2 linked regions of the Notamacropus eugenii genome follow. The protein of the gene in region 1 binds, or shares a complex with, the protein of each later gene. Links are inferred from orthologs where the notes say so. Each region holds a gene or a part of one and is shown on either strand. Other genes may lie near its edges. The genes, in order: CTNND1 and cadherin-like protein 26.

The links.
Region 2: CTNND1 (region 1) and cadherin-like protein 26 share a complex: the UniProt entries of both Homo sapiens proteins name them as parts of the cadherin:catenin adhesion complex. The link is inferred for Notamacropus eugenii from reciprocal best matches to the Homo sapiens genes CTNND1 and CDH26.

Annotation. Positions count from the first base shown.
Region 1 is NC_092873.1:3,341,735-3,349,275, forward strand, and holds the start of CTNND1 (catenin delta-1), read left to right. Parts: upstream 1-4,265; 5' UTR 4,266-4,393; exon of another isoform or gene 4,394-4,498; intron 4,499-4,690; exon of another isoform or gene 4,691-4,760; intron 4,761-7,541. UniProt on the Homo sapiens protein: Key regulator of cell-cell adhesion that associates with and regulates the cell adhesion properties of both C-, E- and N-cadherins, being critical for their surface stability.
Region 2 is NC_092872.1:504,831,624-504,839,523, reverse strand, and holds the start of cadherin-like protein 26, read left to right. Parts: upstream 1-4,654; 5' UTR 4,655-5,240; coding exon 5,241-5,409; intron 5,410-5,845; coding exon 5,846-6,012; intron 6,013-7,301; coding exon 7,302-7,430; intron 7,431-7,900. UniProt on the Homo sapiens protein: Cadherins are calcium-dependent cell adhesion proteins. They preferentially interact with themselves in a homophilic manner in connecting cells; cadherins may thus contribute to the sorting of heterogeneous cell types.

The sequences.
Region 1 (7,541 bases):
TTCTCTGTTTAGTTAAGTGGCTGGACCACGATCCCAGCCAGCCCTTTTTGGTTTTCCTCCCTCCAGGCCACTGGCTCTCTGGGTTCCCTCCAGGGATGCCGTTTCCGGCCAGAAGCCTCCACCTGTAAAAAGAGTGGGTGGAGCCAGGCCACACTTTAAGGGGAAATGGAATATCCTTTCTAGCTCTAACCCTGGGCCTGGGCCACCTCCAAGGTGCCTTGTCTCTGACATTCTGTGATTCTGTCTCCTGCAGTGTGGCTGAAACCGAAAAAGGCTGATCCAGGCATCCCCAGGGGTGCGGCTTCACTGGAGGAGGACTGCTGATAGAAAAGGGAGATGTCCAGAGATCAAAGCACCAGGGTGAGTATGTAGGGCAGAATGGAAAAGGGAACAAGGTGGAAATAGAAAAGGAATTAGAATGGGAGGCAGCTTGCTTGAATTGGAATTTTAATTAAATTTTTAAAAAAGGAAGTACTTGCTGCTAAGTGCTGGAGATATAAATATAAAATTAAAATATAAATATATATAAATGTAAAATATATATAAGCGAGCAAGCTCTCGGTCCTCCAAGAGTCGATAGAAGAAGACAGTACACACAGAGGACTGTGTGGCCCCAGAGGGGTTTTCTGATGACTGGCAGGTGCTCTGAGGAATGGTAATATTGATTTAATTGCTGTGATTACTGCTCTTTTATGACTTATCTATATTTGAATCTTATAACCTTAGACACCTTGCTTTGTCTAGGCCTCAGTTTCCTCATTTGTAAAAGGAAGTTAGTAACCTTATGGCCTCTAAGTGCTCCAGATAAAAAGGAAATGTTTAAAAAAAATAAAAATACAGTACAATATAATGTTAATTTGTGGTTTTCAAAATCAATATACACCCCACAGGGATCCTGCTCGAGTTTAACACCGTTGGACTAGATGATCTCTAAAGTCTCTTCCATTGTGTAATCAATATTTTCAAAAATTTCTCCAAATTGAGAATATCAATCTGAGAAGAGTTTGGTTTTTTTTTGAGGAAGCAGGAAAATTGAGAGGAAATAGAACAGAAGGAGGATGGATTTAGATGGAGCCAGCAGGAAAAAACAGACATAAGACAGAACCCTAAATGTTTATAATGTCTCACTGTAGTATCCCTAGATGATTCAGACAGTGGCATTCCAGTGACGAGATAGGGTTGAAATTTGAACAAAGATTAAGATTATCTTTGCTTTATCTTCTTGGAAACGTTACTATGAGGGCAAAGCGAAGTACCAAGAATTATAACAGTCATCTTTTATACTTTTATCCTAGCTAGCATAACTACAGTTTCATCCCGGGTCAGCAGAATTTTTAAAGGAAATGGCACATCATAGCCCTTCTCAGGATCTCAAAAATCATACGTTTTAGGTGATATCTAGTAACCAAAAGGGCATTTTTTGTGTGTATGTATTTATCCAATGCTTTCTTCAGATTGAATGTTTGTTAATCTCTACTTCTTGCTATTAATCTCTTTAATGTAGATTTCCAGAGTTGGCTAATATAGTATAGTTGTTTATATGCAGATGAATAGATGGTGATTTTATTTTATTTGTTTTATTTTATTTTTATCAGTCCTTTCTCTACTTTTAAAATTTCTTCCTAATCTTTACTTCACCAATTTAAATCATCATTCTGTGTACCTGTTGGTGATGGTTCTGTAAGCCTTAGAGAGTTTTGAAGTTGAATGAAAAATATATTCTGTGTATTTTTAAGACTCAAGCAGAGAATTTGTATGTGCTCGTAATACAACTTTGATTCTTTTTGTATTTAATCCAGTTCAGCAGATATTAGGCACCTGCTATATGCGATGAACCTGGTCTAAAAGACCAAAAGAAAAAAGAGTTTACATTCTTTTGGGGGAATAAAACATGTATATAGATGAAGAAATAGAAGATATTATGAAGCAGCCTCCCACCCCTCATTCTTTTCTAATTTAATATAGAGGTGGTTTCCACTCAGTGCTTAGCAATCTTTATTTAGAAGTGCAGGTTAGATACATTTAATTAAATTTTTTTGTTACCGTGTTTATTTGGTGATCTGTTATGTGTCTTTATTTTAATGTTATTTACAAATTCATGAATGTCCTCTTCATTCTCTGCAGATTAACTTGGAAATTTCAAATAAAGCCACTTTTAAACAGATTTCTTTGTTATGCACTTTCATGAGACAGCCCTCAGTTCATGTGACCTCTTCTATCTGAGCTAATCTGAAGCAGTTTTTTAAGTACAGTAATATACGGTGTCATATCCTGTTTTCCTTTAAATATTTTCTGTTTTCTCCAGGCAGCCGTCTTGGTCTAGTAGGATATCAGTGAATCATTCAAGTAACATTTATTGCTTATTATGTGCAATGTATTGTGATTATCAATTCTTAATGCTGTTTATCGATTGCCATTTCACTATGTTTTAGATTTGTACATTTCTTTCTCAGGAGACAACCAGAAGTATTAGTTTGGGAATCTTAAGAATCTGGATTTTAAGGATGCTCTGTCACTTAAAGAATTTGTGACCTTGAGCAGTTCACTTCACTTTACTAACTTAGCTTCAATTTTCTCTTTCATAAAATAAAAGTGCCCTAGAATGATCTCTAAGGTCTCCTTAGCTCTCAGTCCTATGTTCCTTTATCTAACGAAATCCTCATACTGTTCTTTTCAAACCTATCCAAGTCGTCATTCCTTTCTGTCATGCTTTTTTCCCCATTCCTGTAAAAAAAATCTTAGGCCCAGGCATTTCACACTATGGGACTAGGTTTAATATTCGTGTGTTGGTTCTATTATACAGGGTTCAAAGAGCAATATGGCATAGTTAGGAATGCTTTGTGAAAGAGGTGGGGCCTAACTCTTGAATTGGTTCTTGACAGATGGTTGGGATTTAGAGTGTCTGAGAAGAAGGAAGAAAAAATTAGTTTAGGGAAATATCCAGTCTAGCCGTGGGAGCCGAAATGATTGAGGGGCTGTTCTAGGAATAGTGACAAGATTAACCTTCCTGGCAGGGCGGGTTCTTGCCTGGGATCTATGAGATAAACTTGGGCAGGTAGGGTGGGGTGAGATTGTGAAGGGCTGGGCCCACGGTAATGCACTTTGTCCCCTAGGGTGCTGCTAAAAGATTTTACCGGGTGGGGAGAAATCTGACGAGAAAACCTGTATTGAAAGTAGAATTAATCTGAAATTGTCAGTTATTGTTCGCAGATATTGGGATTTTTTTTTCCTTTCAGAATGAAAAGGAAGTTTTCAACTCACATAACTTAATATTCAGTGAATATTAAATTCTGTGTGCTGGATTCTATACCAGAAACTTAACAACCCCTGCCCTTTAGGACCTGACATTTTAAGAGCGTCATTTATGCTAGACATATCAATATGTTTAAAAAAAAAAGGAATGTAAACAGTTTTTTGTGTAGTCCAGTGTGAGATAAACTAGCAATCATGAGGCCAACTCTGCCAACAGTTCCAAAAAACATATACTGTTATCTTTCTGAGATTTTCTCAGTTGATTTATCTGGGTAGTTTTTTAGTCTACATCACTTGTCCTTCTATATTCTGTATGGTTCACACATTTTTTGATTGGAAGAACAAAGACCGATTATACTAAAGAAACTATTCAGCCCAGGAATCAGTTTCAATTTTAAAAAATTAAAACAATGGAATTGAGATTTACCTCAAAGAAGACCCCTCCCAGTCTCCCCATAAATGGATTAAGTACAGTCTCATTCTTTCTCCCTCCCCCATAGTTAATAACAAAAAAAAAATCGATATATAAATCGACAGCTTATTTATTTATTATTATTTATTGACAGATGCCTGGACATCCCCTACAATCTGAAAGCAGGGGGAAAGGGTTTGAGGAGACATACGCAAAATCCTCAACAGTCCCATCCTCAAAGAGAACTCAGGAAATAGCTTAAGCTTTTTTCTATGCAATGATTTTTTTAAAAACTCAAAAAACTAAACACTTTTTTTCCATTCAGGCTCAGCCCTTGCCATACTTCCTCTAGGATTGTATATCCTTTGCTTTTGCAATATACATGTAGATATACATATTATATATATGCATATGTATTTTTAAAAGTTCTGTGTCTTTTTCTGTCTCTCTCTTTTTTTTTTTTTTTTTCTAATTCCTATAATAAAGTTTCCTATTGGATAAGGTCAGCTCCCTGATTTATGCCAGGTTTCTATTGGAAGTGCTCAAAGGCTGACATCACTTAGGAAAGCGAGGGGGTAGGGCTGGCAGACCAGTTTGTCACCACCCAGCCTCCCTTGCCTTTGGCTGGGTGCAACTTCCATTTTAGGTGTTGGATCTGAGAGGAAAGAAAAAAAAAGAAGAGGGAGAGAAGGAAAGAAAGAAGAGGAACGAGCCGTAAAGGAGAAAGAGGTGGAGAAAAATTAATACACTATTGTCCTTGTCTTTTTCGGCAGTACTGGCAAGGATTGGGGTTCCTTTTTGTAAAGGATTGTTTTTTAGAAGTCTGCAAACGAGGTGTGTGTCTGTGTCTGTGTAATGTGTCCAGAGGAGGGGAATGATAGGCTATCTAGTTGAATTTTTAATTTTTGCTAACTAGAGGGATTTTCAAAAGGTGCTGGATGTTTGGGAGAAATTCAGCTAGGCTGGCTAATTTTAAAACATTTTTTTCCTCTCAATTTTTGCTACTTTTAATTTTATTTTTCAAAGCAAAACAGCAAGGAGAAGGAAAAACTTCTGGGTCTCCAGCGCTGGGAGCTAGTTGAGCAGCTCCTGAGGGGTAAGAGCAGTCCTGTGAATTTGTCTGCTGGTGTACTTTCTGACTGTTCATTGCTTTCTAGGTCTAAGTGAACATATTTACATAACCTTTGGTAACAAAATTCTCAAAGTTGGGTTTTGGTGTATTGTGTGGGTTGAGACAGGAATTTGTCTTCAGGTCGAAAGCTGGTTTCGTAGATGGCTTTTCATATGTTTTAAAACTTATTTTACTTTTTGCCCTGTTTGTGGACGTGGAAAGTTGCAAGGAGATTTGCAGCTTAAGCTGTGGTAGTGGCTTCCCACTCCTCTCCCCCCGCTCCCCACCCAAGAGTGTGATTAAACTCCCGTACTCTGTTTCAGCCTCATGTTCCTGGGTGGATCCCGTTTTTTTACTTTTCCAGGTGCAGTGGGTGGGAGCCTCTTTCTCTTGTACTGGCCCTGCTGCCTTGCCTTTTAAAAGAAAACAAATGGATTCTCATGGACTACATTTCCCTTTTCTTAAAACTACCTTAAGTTGATAAGACTTTCACCCCTACTTCCGAAAATCTGCAAAAACTGTTACGAGAGTTTTGGAATTAGGAGGTCTTTTAGTTTACTTGAGTGAAGGAGAAAAATAGTTTAGAAATGATCTTAGCTTTTTATTTATTTAGAAATGAGAGGTTAGACAAGGTGAACAGAAAACTGTTACACACTTGAATTTCCAATTCATTTGATGAATTTTAAGAGGAAAAATATTTTTAAAAAACTGAAGTTTAGTTTTGTAGGTGAGTAGATTTTTAGTTGATTTCCTAAAAGATCAGAACTTTCGTAGCATTGTAGGCCACTGACTTTCCCCTCCCTTGTTTTAAATCTTTTTTATTTGTGAAGTACTTTTTTATATGTACTTCAACAAAATTTTAGATGATCATGTAGTCAGATCATTAGCTAAAGACTTAGACTTCCTCTTCTCCCTTTGCCCTTTTAACAATCAGAGCTACTCTAAAAACTATACATGCAATTATATTCTTGACCTAATTGCAACAAGATGGGCCTTAATTTAGTGGCCTTTAGTACCTAAACTATCATACCTTTAAAAGTTCCATGTATGTTTATTTCCTTCCCTTTTTAATTAGAAAACTTCCCTGAAAATGTTTTTGCATGCAAAACTGGAGTGTTGAGGGAGTTACTTGCTTTAGGGGTTTCAAAATAAAATGGAATTTCTTCTTTATGCCAGGACCAAAGTGGAGTGGTTCCTATAAGCCTTATCAATTCTTTCTTCCTTGACTCTGCAGTCTAAATTTAAAAAGAAAGGATGGCACATTTATGGGGAATATCCTAGGAGATGATTGATTCAGCCCTTTCGACTGTGTCTTTATTTGAATAGGGCTAGAAGAATTTGGACGCTATTCATCTCCCTTTTTCTGCCTTGGCTTCAGCCTGAGGTTCTAAATACATTTTTGGATGACTGATCAGAATTGCTAGTTGACCCATTATCCCTCTAAACCTTTAAGTGGGTATCTGTTGAGAAAGATTACAAAGACATTTTGAAAATGGAAAATAGGCTTTTGAAGACTGGGTAGTGGTGATTGGTGGATGGACACCGCACAGTGATGGTAGGATCCAAGTAAGTATCTGGAATAGAGGTTCTTAACATTTTTTGTGCTATGGGACCCCTTTGGCAATCTGATAAAGCCTATTGACTTCCTCAGCATAATTTTAAAAATTAATAATTGAAGGAAATGCCAATTTTAGTTAGACATTAGTAAAAACAGAACTTTTCCCCCAGAGACCCCCCTCCCCCCGCCTTGAAATATATTCTTTGGTCCATGGACCCCAGATTAAGAAATCTCTGGTCCAGAGTTAGTGGAGGCAGCTCTAGATGTTGTCATTGGCCTGTTTTAGATGAGGAAGCAGACTTGTCTTCTGTCTCCTATATTCAAGAATTGTAGGAGGTTTGGAACTCCAGAGAAGGGTACCGTCGGGTTCCTCTTTTGGAAGTGAGGGGAATGCCCTCCAGTTTGAGCGGTAGGCTAAGTAGGCATATTTTTATGTTTTGTTTTCACCTTTGTATTAATGGTCCATTTGATAAGTGATCCAGTGACCTTTGTTCTTGTGAAATCTCCTAGAAGGCAGGGTATTGTCAGGCTTCTATTTTTTCTAGCAGTGTTGGAACTGAATTGGGGGTAAATCCCATAATTGTATTTTCTTAGGCCATAGAGAAATGGAATTATAAAATTTGCCTTTATCTGACATGGAATTTAGAGTTTCTACTACCAGTTCCAAGTAGTTAAAATTAAAACCTGGTTGTCCTATTCCCTGAAGAGATGTAGGTGACAGTCTTGTGAATGTAACTAGTCTTTCAAAAGAGAAGATAGAATAGATGGAAAGAAATGGACCTCTACGGGCTCATTAAGAGACTTTGTGTTGCCCTGAAGAAATCATTATATCCTTCTTCTGGTAGCAGGTTCCCCTTTTACTTCCATTTCCCAGGCCAAGACTGCTGCCATTTCTAGGGGGTAGTTTAAAAAAAACAAACAAACCCTAGTAAATGGCACAATGTTTTCATCTTGTTCAAGGTCCTCATTTTACTTTTCCATATTGGTTTAAAGTACACAATATTCCTGCTTATTTCATCAAAGGAAAACCTATTAACTATCTACTATTTCCATGATGGGGAAAAAGAAGCTGGGCTAGAAATGGATACTTTTTTCAACCTTTTGATGAGGAAACTTGCCTTCTGTGCAGCATCTTGATCTCAGTAATGGTTTTCCTTCTCCAAAGAACCTTTATATGAAATGGGCTAGTCTTTGCTTCTTAGTCACTT
Region 2 (7,900 bases), on another chromosome or scaffold:
ATGTTTCTTGAATTAAATTGTGTGGATACAAAGGGGATACACGGATCTGTATAAAATACAGAATATAACACAGACCTGGTTCTCAGTGAAGTTATAGTAGAGTTAAGGAGATTAGGATGCATGGTATAGTCAAGGGGAGCAGTGCCCTGCAATAGAAAAATTCTGGCCTAGGTATCACAAGACCCTGGTTTTAGACCTGGCTCTTCCCTTTACCTACTTTTGTGCAATGCAACTCACCTGTCTGAGCCTTAGTTCCCTCTGATGTAAAATAAGGAGGTTGGGTTAGGGGCAATGTGTTATAGTATATATTTTACTTGATCTGGTTGGAGTCAGGACATTGAAAATGACAAGAGTGGAAAATAGAATGTCAAGTTCAGGTAAGAGCTAGCATGACAATACCTTGCATAGAGAATATGTCCAATAAAAACTTTTCAAAGATTTTGTTTTCATTTAATCTAACTGAGATGGCAAATTGTGTCTGTGATATTTGAGTTTTGTGACCATGGGCTGGTCATGTACACGTCCCAAGCCTCAGTTTCCTCATCAGTAGAATGGAGATAAGAATGTCTTTAGTATCTTACTTCTCAAAGTTGTTTTAAGTCTTAAATGAGAGAAACTGTGTAAAATGCTTTGCAAATCTCAAAGTGCTATCTAAAACCAACTATTATAATTATAGGATCATATACCTAAATCTAGAAGGGACCTCAGAAACCATTTAGTCTAAATTGTTCATTTTACAGGTGAGAAAACTGAGTCCCAGGGAGGTTATGGCTTGCCCAAAGTCACACAGGTAGGAAGGGTCAAAAAAAGTCAGCCCTCTTTTCTCTTTTCCACCTTGCTTCTACTTAACAATAAGTCTCTTGGATCCCTTTCTACATTGCAGTAGAAGACCCTTTGCTTTCAGATGATAAGAGTTGGATCAGTAGCACCAACAGTAAGTACTACATTAAAAAAAAATAGCTCACTGGGGAGAGGCTCAGGGGAAAGTTGAACATTTCCCTTTAGACTCTTGTACAGTCGGGATAGTTTTTAAACAACCCACGCCATTGTTCTTGCTAAGGTATGGATGAGTAACAAGAGTAGAGAAAACATTCTACCCTTGTTAACTTTTGAGGGGTAATGGAATGAAAGTGTGGGATCATCCTATTCCTTCATTCCCCTAAGAAAGAGCCAGCCAAATTTGAAAACTGTTGAAAGATTTAAGAGGTAAGGACAGACAGAGACATATAATGCCTATTTCTATTCAGGGACAAAACCCATCTTTTAGGAAATAAATTTTTCAACCATAGCGAACACATCCACACACAGAAAAAATCTTTCCAAGTGTAGAACATATACATAAGTGTTTTTACATCTGCTCTGACTTTTAGGGCCCTGGTAGAAATTCAACAAATTTTCCCAGCATATATCCTGAGGGAAATTACTGGTTTAGAGTATAGCTATCCCACCTTTTAGGGAAAATAATAAAATATGAAATCATGAGAGGGACCATAGCACAGTGGATAAAAAGCTGCCTCAGAGCCAAGAACTGTTTTCAAGTCTTGCTTCTGACACATACTGGCTGTGTGACCCTGAGCAAGTCACTTAATCTCTTATTGCCTTGGAGAACTCTGACTATAAATCACAAAGAAGGTGCCTAACTGCATCGATGAGTTTTCTCATCTGGGATTCCATTCCCTGCCCCATTTTCCATCAGTTTCTGACCCAAATTTTGCCCTTCCAGGCATCTCTAGGCTTCTCTCCTTCTTCTGGTTTTCCTCTTTCCTTTTGTTTCCCCAAATCTTGGAAGCTTCATCCAGGTATTAGTATTGTCTCTGTCCCTGGGCCTATGCTGTAGGCCCAGGATCCTAATAAAATCATTGTGAAAAATCACAATGCTTCTTTTTGAGTGGAAGGACACAATATAGTTATAGGTGCAGAAATTCAGTGTTATTGGGGGAATATTCATGAATTGTGTAAAAGATGGTTGTATTTTAAAGGAAATCTGGTTTCAGGAAAACTAAAAATTGTTATAGGAAATAAAAAGATAAAGGATTATGTGAAAAGTGTAGTATATTTATCTTTTTTTAGTATTTAACCTGAGATTGAGTCACTCGACACAGTCAGTGTGGTGTAGCAGAAAGTTTGTTGAAGTCAAGAACAGAGTAGACTGCTACTGAGTAGCAATCATTTTCTATCACCCTCTTTAAGAGACATCCCCTTGGTTCCTTGGTATGATTTGGCTCCGTGAACCTTGCTTTCATTCTGCATAAAATGAAGAAGCTGGAAAAAAATCAACGAGTCAACAGTGCAACATGGCGACCAAAAAACCTGATCTGATCTCTGACTGTATGAAGTGATATAGTGTATACAACAAGGCAGGTGATATTCCTGCTATGCAGCTTCCCCTGTTAGGTCATATTTATAGTTTCTCTAGTCTTATTCAGTGTATCAGGGAAAAAGAACCACAGTCATGCCACTTCCATTCAAATTACAGCATTGATTAATATCCTACAAACCATTGGTAGAGCTCTCACACAAAAGGAAACAAGGAAATGTGCTTCTGCTTCATAGGTACTTCCAGTCTCAAATTTGTGCTCGTTATGAGAAATGACTATACAGTGATGACAACCCTAGAGACAAACCTCTACCCAAAACCTCAGCCTGATACTGAGTAGCCTAAGGTCATTAAGACCAGAACTGTTCTTTACTCAGTGGCAAAAAGGGAACTGAAAACTGTTGCAAATACACCAATCCAGGGTGAATAAGCCCTTCAAATAGACTAAAGTTCTAAAGCAAAAAGGCTGAACATCTGCTGGCTGAGTATGATTCAGGGGGTATAATTCAGGTGTGGAATACAGTAAATGACCTCTGAAAGAGACTCCTTAAGATTCCATGAGTCTAAGAATATGCCAATTACAAGTAGACCAGATTAGGATGAGTAAAGGGGTTGGTTGAATTCCTGTTGTCAGCTATCATGCCCATGAATTTATTAATTATGCTAGCTGATTCTGTGTTTCCTTCCCTGCCCCTCATCCTTTTGGGATAAAAAGCCTAATCTAACCAATCTACATGAGGTGTATTATTTTTTGGTTCTGGAAACCATATCATGGAGGTCATTGAAAAGTTGAAAAGCATCCAAAGAAGGGCCCCAAGGCTATTGAAGATCCCATGATTCAGCTATAGGAGGATCAGATAAAAGATACACGATTGTTTACTCCAGAGAGAAAAAGACTTAGGAAAGATATTATATATTACTTCAGTTATTTGAAGAGAGGTCATGTGGAAGAGGAATTATACTTCTGCTCAGTTCCAGAGGGCAAAATTAGATATAAATGGATGGGAGCTGAAGAGAGACTGAGTTAAACTTTAGTAAAGACAAACTTCTCAACAATTAAAGCTAACCAAAAATTAAAAGAGAGGTAATTTATTCTCCTTCACTTCTGGTGAAGCAAAGGTTGGATGGCCATTTGTTGATAATGTTGTAAAGGAGATTCTTGGTCAGGTACAGGTTGGACTAGATAGCTTCTAAAATAACTTCCAACAACGAGATTCATGATTAGATGATCTCTAAAGTCCTCTCTAGCTCTAACCTTCTATAATATATCTGGATTATTGGGCATTGACCACAATCTAGATATCTTTTAGTCCTTAGAATATCTACCAAGATTTGATTTGTAAAGAGGCAATGTATTATTGTGGAAAGAATATTGGACTAGGAATCAGAGAGCCTGGGTTTGGATCTGGGCTTCACCACTGGCTGTGTAATTGTGGGAAAGTCAACAGATGTTGGTCAGAAAATATGGATTAAGATCTTAGTTCTGACACTTTCTACCTGTGTAACCTGGAACAAGTTATTAAGCTTTCTTAAACCTCAGTTTCTTCATGAAAAAAATGGGGGAGTTGAATTAGAAGATTGTTATGATAATATGACCTATCCTATCTGGTTCTTAGTTTCTTCATTTTAAAAAGAAAAGGTTGGATTAGGTGATGTCCAAAGTTTCTTTCAGCTCTAAATCCTGTTTCCTCCACTCTTTCTGATCCCATATTTGTGGCTCCTACACTTATCCATGGCTTCAGGTGGCTTTCTCTTTCTACTCTGAGATTTGTTAACACAACCCTCTGTGACCCTTTCTCAACCCCTTATTCCCTCATTTTATCCCAGAATTTACCAACCCTGGCTTAATTATGGCTTAATTTTTTTCCCCACCAATTCCCCTGAAGAATATTTACAAAGAGTAGCTCAATTGTAGGTGAGGTTCTTCTGTCAGCAAAGCTTCCTTTGGAGAGACAGTATTGTGAAACAGAAAGTATTTTATAAATTGATTTATTCAAACACAGCAAGTACTCTCTGGGCTCACTAGGCTGATTACCTCATCCTTTCAAGATTATAGGAGTTGGGATATCTCTTCTCTACTGTTATCATATTGATATCCTGTTACGGAAATGTTTTCCTCCATGGTTAGGAATCAGTGATTAGTGCCATAGTTCCATTAAACCAATTAATATCAGTTCGCATTTAAAGATGGATATTTACCTTAAAAATATGGAGATATAATAAGAACAGAAATACAAATATCCCCTCCTCAATAAATTGAGGGCACTCTCCCTCTTCTATCACTTCTGGCTCAGATTTAATGCAATTTCTACAAAGCATTGCTCCCACCAAGTTCACTTTCAAATGTGGCATTGCAGTCAGTTGAGTACTACTGCTATGCTGGGTCCCAAGATCTCTCCTTGCTTCTTGGGACAATGATGCTCAGCTGCCTGCAAAGCTCAGCATAGATTTGCCTGCTGCATCTCAGGTGGCTTATTCTTCTGACATTTTGAAATTCACAAAGTTGGAACCTCTAACATCCTTCACCTAAAATAGAAGAAAAACTGCCAAGGCAAAGAACCAAAGCCCATAGTCATGGGCCATGACTCCTCAGAAGGAGAGAGCCTCAAATCTCTCCTTTTAAAGCATTGTCTTTCACTAGACAGTGTCAGAAATTGTATCTTGATGATTTAAGTCTTTGTGGGCTCATATCAATTACATAACATGGAGAAGCACATTGAAATTGAACTTTAGTGGGATCTTTTTTGCATCAACTGAATTGTTATCAGGATATGGTCTAAGTGCACGAGTCTATGGGGTATTTATGAGGATGATTCATTTGAGATACTAGTAGAGGAGATATAACAAAACTTTTTTTAAAAAAGTAAGAAACCATAAAAGATAATACAGTAATGTCCCCCCTGAATAATTGGTCTTGGCATTAATGTTAACCACTGTTTTCCAGATATCCTTTGAAATTGCTGACCGTTCAACTTTGGAAACTGTGGATAACTCTTTATTTTTTGTTATCAAAGTTGTTGACATCAATGATAATGCACCACAGTTTGCTGGGGAAGAATTTAACATCACTATCAAAGAAAACCACAATCTAGGTGAGACCTGTTCACCTGTTGGGTGAGATTCATATTCCATTTTTTAATCAGTGGAAATATCATTTTTTATATTCTTAATATTTTGTTTTTCCCCAATTATATGTAAAAACAGATTAGTATTCCTTCACTTCTTTTATGGAGGCACCTTTACTTTGTATAGTGAAACAGGATAGAGGAAGAGTGGGAAGGGATGTGCAACTGAATGGTTTCAGGTATATATTTTCTTGTTCATTTCTTAATATTGCAGGCCTAATATTTCTTCTGATTCTTTCTGGTCCTTAAGCTAAATTTTATACTAACAATAAGATTACCTGGAAAATAATTCATTAGCATTTAGAACTCCTGGTGGACCACTAACAGCCTAATTAAAATAAGTCCAATCTACACTATGGAACTTTAATCTGTTGTAACAACTGATTTTTTTCTTTCCTTCTAGATAATCCTGTCTTTCAGGTGGTGGCAGTCGATTTGGACAAAGAGCAAACTCCCAATTCTGAAGTCTCCTATTCCCTTGTTTCACAAGTGCCGTTGATAAAAGGAAATGAGTTTTATATAGATCACAGCAGTGGAGAAATCCATGTCTCAGGATGCTTAGATTATGCGGTACTAAATTTTTTTTATTCTTTTTAAAAGCATGAATTTCTGTCTCCCACATGTGATTATTATATATGACTTCTAAGTGTGTAGGTGCATCTTTTTTTTTCCCATTCATCTTGTGTTGAGTAAATACATGCTGTGTTCAGAGGGGCAGCTAAGTGGTGCAGTGGATAGAGCACCAGTGCAGGAGTCAGGAGGACCTGAGTTTAAATCTCACCTCAGACACTTGACACTCACTAGCTGTGTGACCTTGTGCAAGTCACTTAACCCCAATTGCCTTATCCTGGGTCATCTCCAGTCATCCTGATGAATATCTGGTCACTGGATTCAGATGGCTCTGGAGGAGAAGTGAGGCTGGTGACCTGCACAGCCCTCCCTCACTCAAAAAAAAGTCAAGTGCAAGTCATGTCATTATTTCTCTGATGGCATGGTCTTCTTTAGCAATAAAGGACCAACACATACAACACAATATGTTCAGAGCACTGTGTTAGGTGTCTTGCCCTGAAAGAGTTGACAATCTAGTAGGTAATTAACATTCAAACATAGATAACTATAATGGTGTCTTTCTTAATCTACTTACACCTGTACTGTACAGACGTACACTGAATGATTTGGTACAGACATACACTGCATGATTATACGTATATATGCATACATTTAAAAACAAGTATATATTATATCTGTGAGTATGTATGTATGTATATACACACGTACACATACATATAGGAAAAAACAAAAGTTATCATTGAATCTGGGTTTTAATATTGGCTCCGCTTATTTATTATTTATATGACTCTAAGAAAGTTATTTTTTTCTGAGTCTCAATTTCCTTATCTTTAAAATGAGAGCGCTAGAAAGGTGATCTCTAAGATCTTTTCTCCTGCTGCATTCTACAGTCCTACAAAAATATTTCAAAAGATCTAGAGTTTCATTGGAATGGGCTTGTCTAGCCCATGAAAATCACAACCTTTCTAGTTAAGTAAACATTATGCATGAATTGTAGTGACCCCCAATAAATTTCATTACCTTCCAGCCAAAGTTGTTGAACCTCTCTGATCCTGGCTTGGCTGGTACTGGGACATTAGTATCAGAGTCTGTTGCTGGACTTGGCCCAATAACTTCTCAGTTTGATAGGATCTTCCAGAGCATTGCCTACAAGAACCCACATCCATGCCACCATGAAACATTGGAGGGGTCATTACAAAACAAATGGAAATGAAAGTTAAGCAACAAAGTCAATTGATTTGTTTTCTTGCCATATGTTGGGGAAACTAACTATTCGCCTCCATGCATAGGCTACCCGGTTCTTCAAATTACTGATTAGAGCAAATGACCATGGAGAGCCATCATTGTCATCCACTGCTACTGTTAACATAGCAATTGAAGATGGAAACAACCATATGCCTACATTTACTAAGGGACATGTAAGTCCAACAGCTAACTTCTGTTTTTTAATCATCATAAAGACCAAATGAGATTTGGTCTCCAGTTTGTGTCATACCAGGGTGTCTCCAGTTTTCTTGATGAGGTGGGAGGTGTCATGAAATTTGCAAAATCAAGTTGGTTTTAATTTAATATCATAATATTATGGGGAGGGGGTTACTAAAGAAGTGTGATTTGGATGTCAGGAAATAATGTCCAAAATAATAGCATGTCACAAGTGAGAAAAGATTGGAAATCGTTATTCTTGAACAACATGAGTGTATTATTTTGAGTGTGCATGATTTACTTTTAGATGAATTAAAGGAATAGCAAGCATCTGTAATCTCTATTTCCAATTTTTTGGTGTAGAATTAAAAGAAAGTATTTCCCAAAATAGTTAAGTATTTTTAAAACAATTTTCTTTTCCATTTTCTTTTTCCAAATCAAAGTGAAATGATTAAAAAACAAAAAC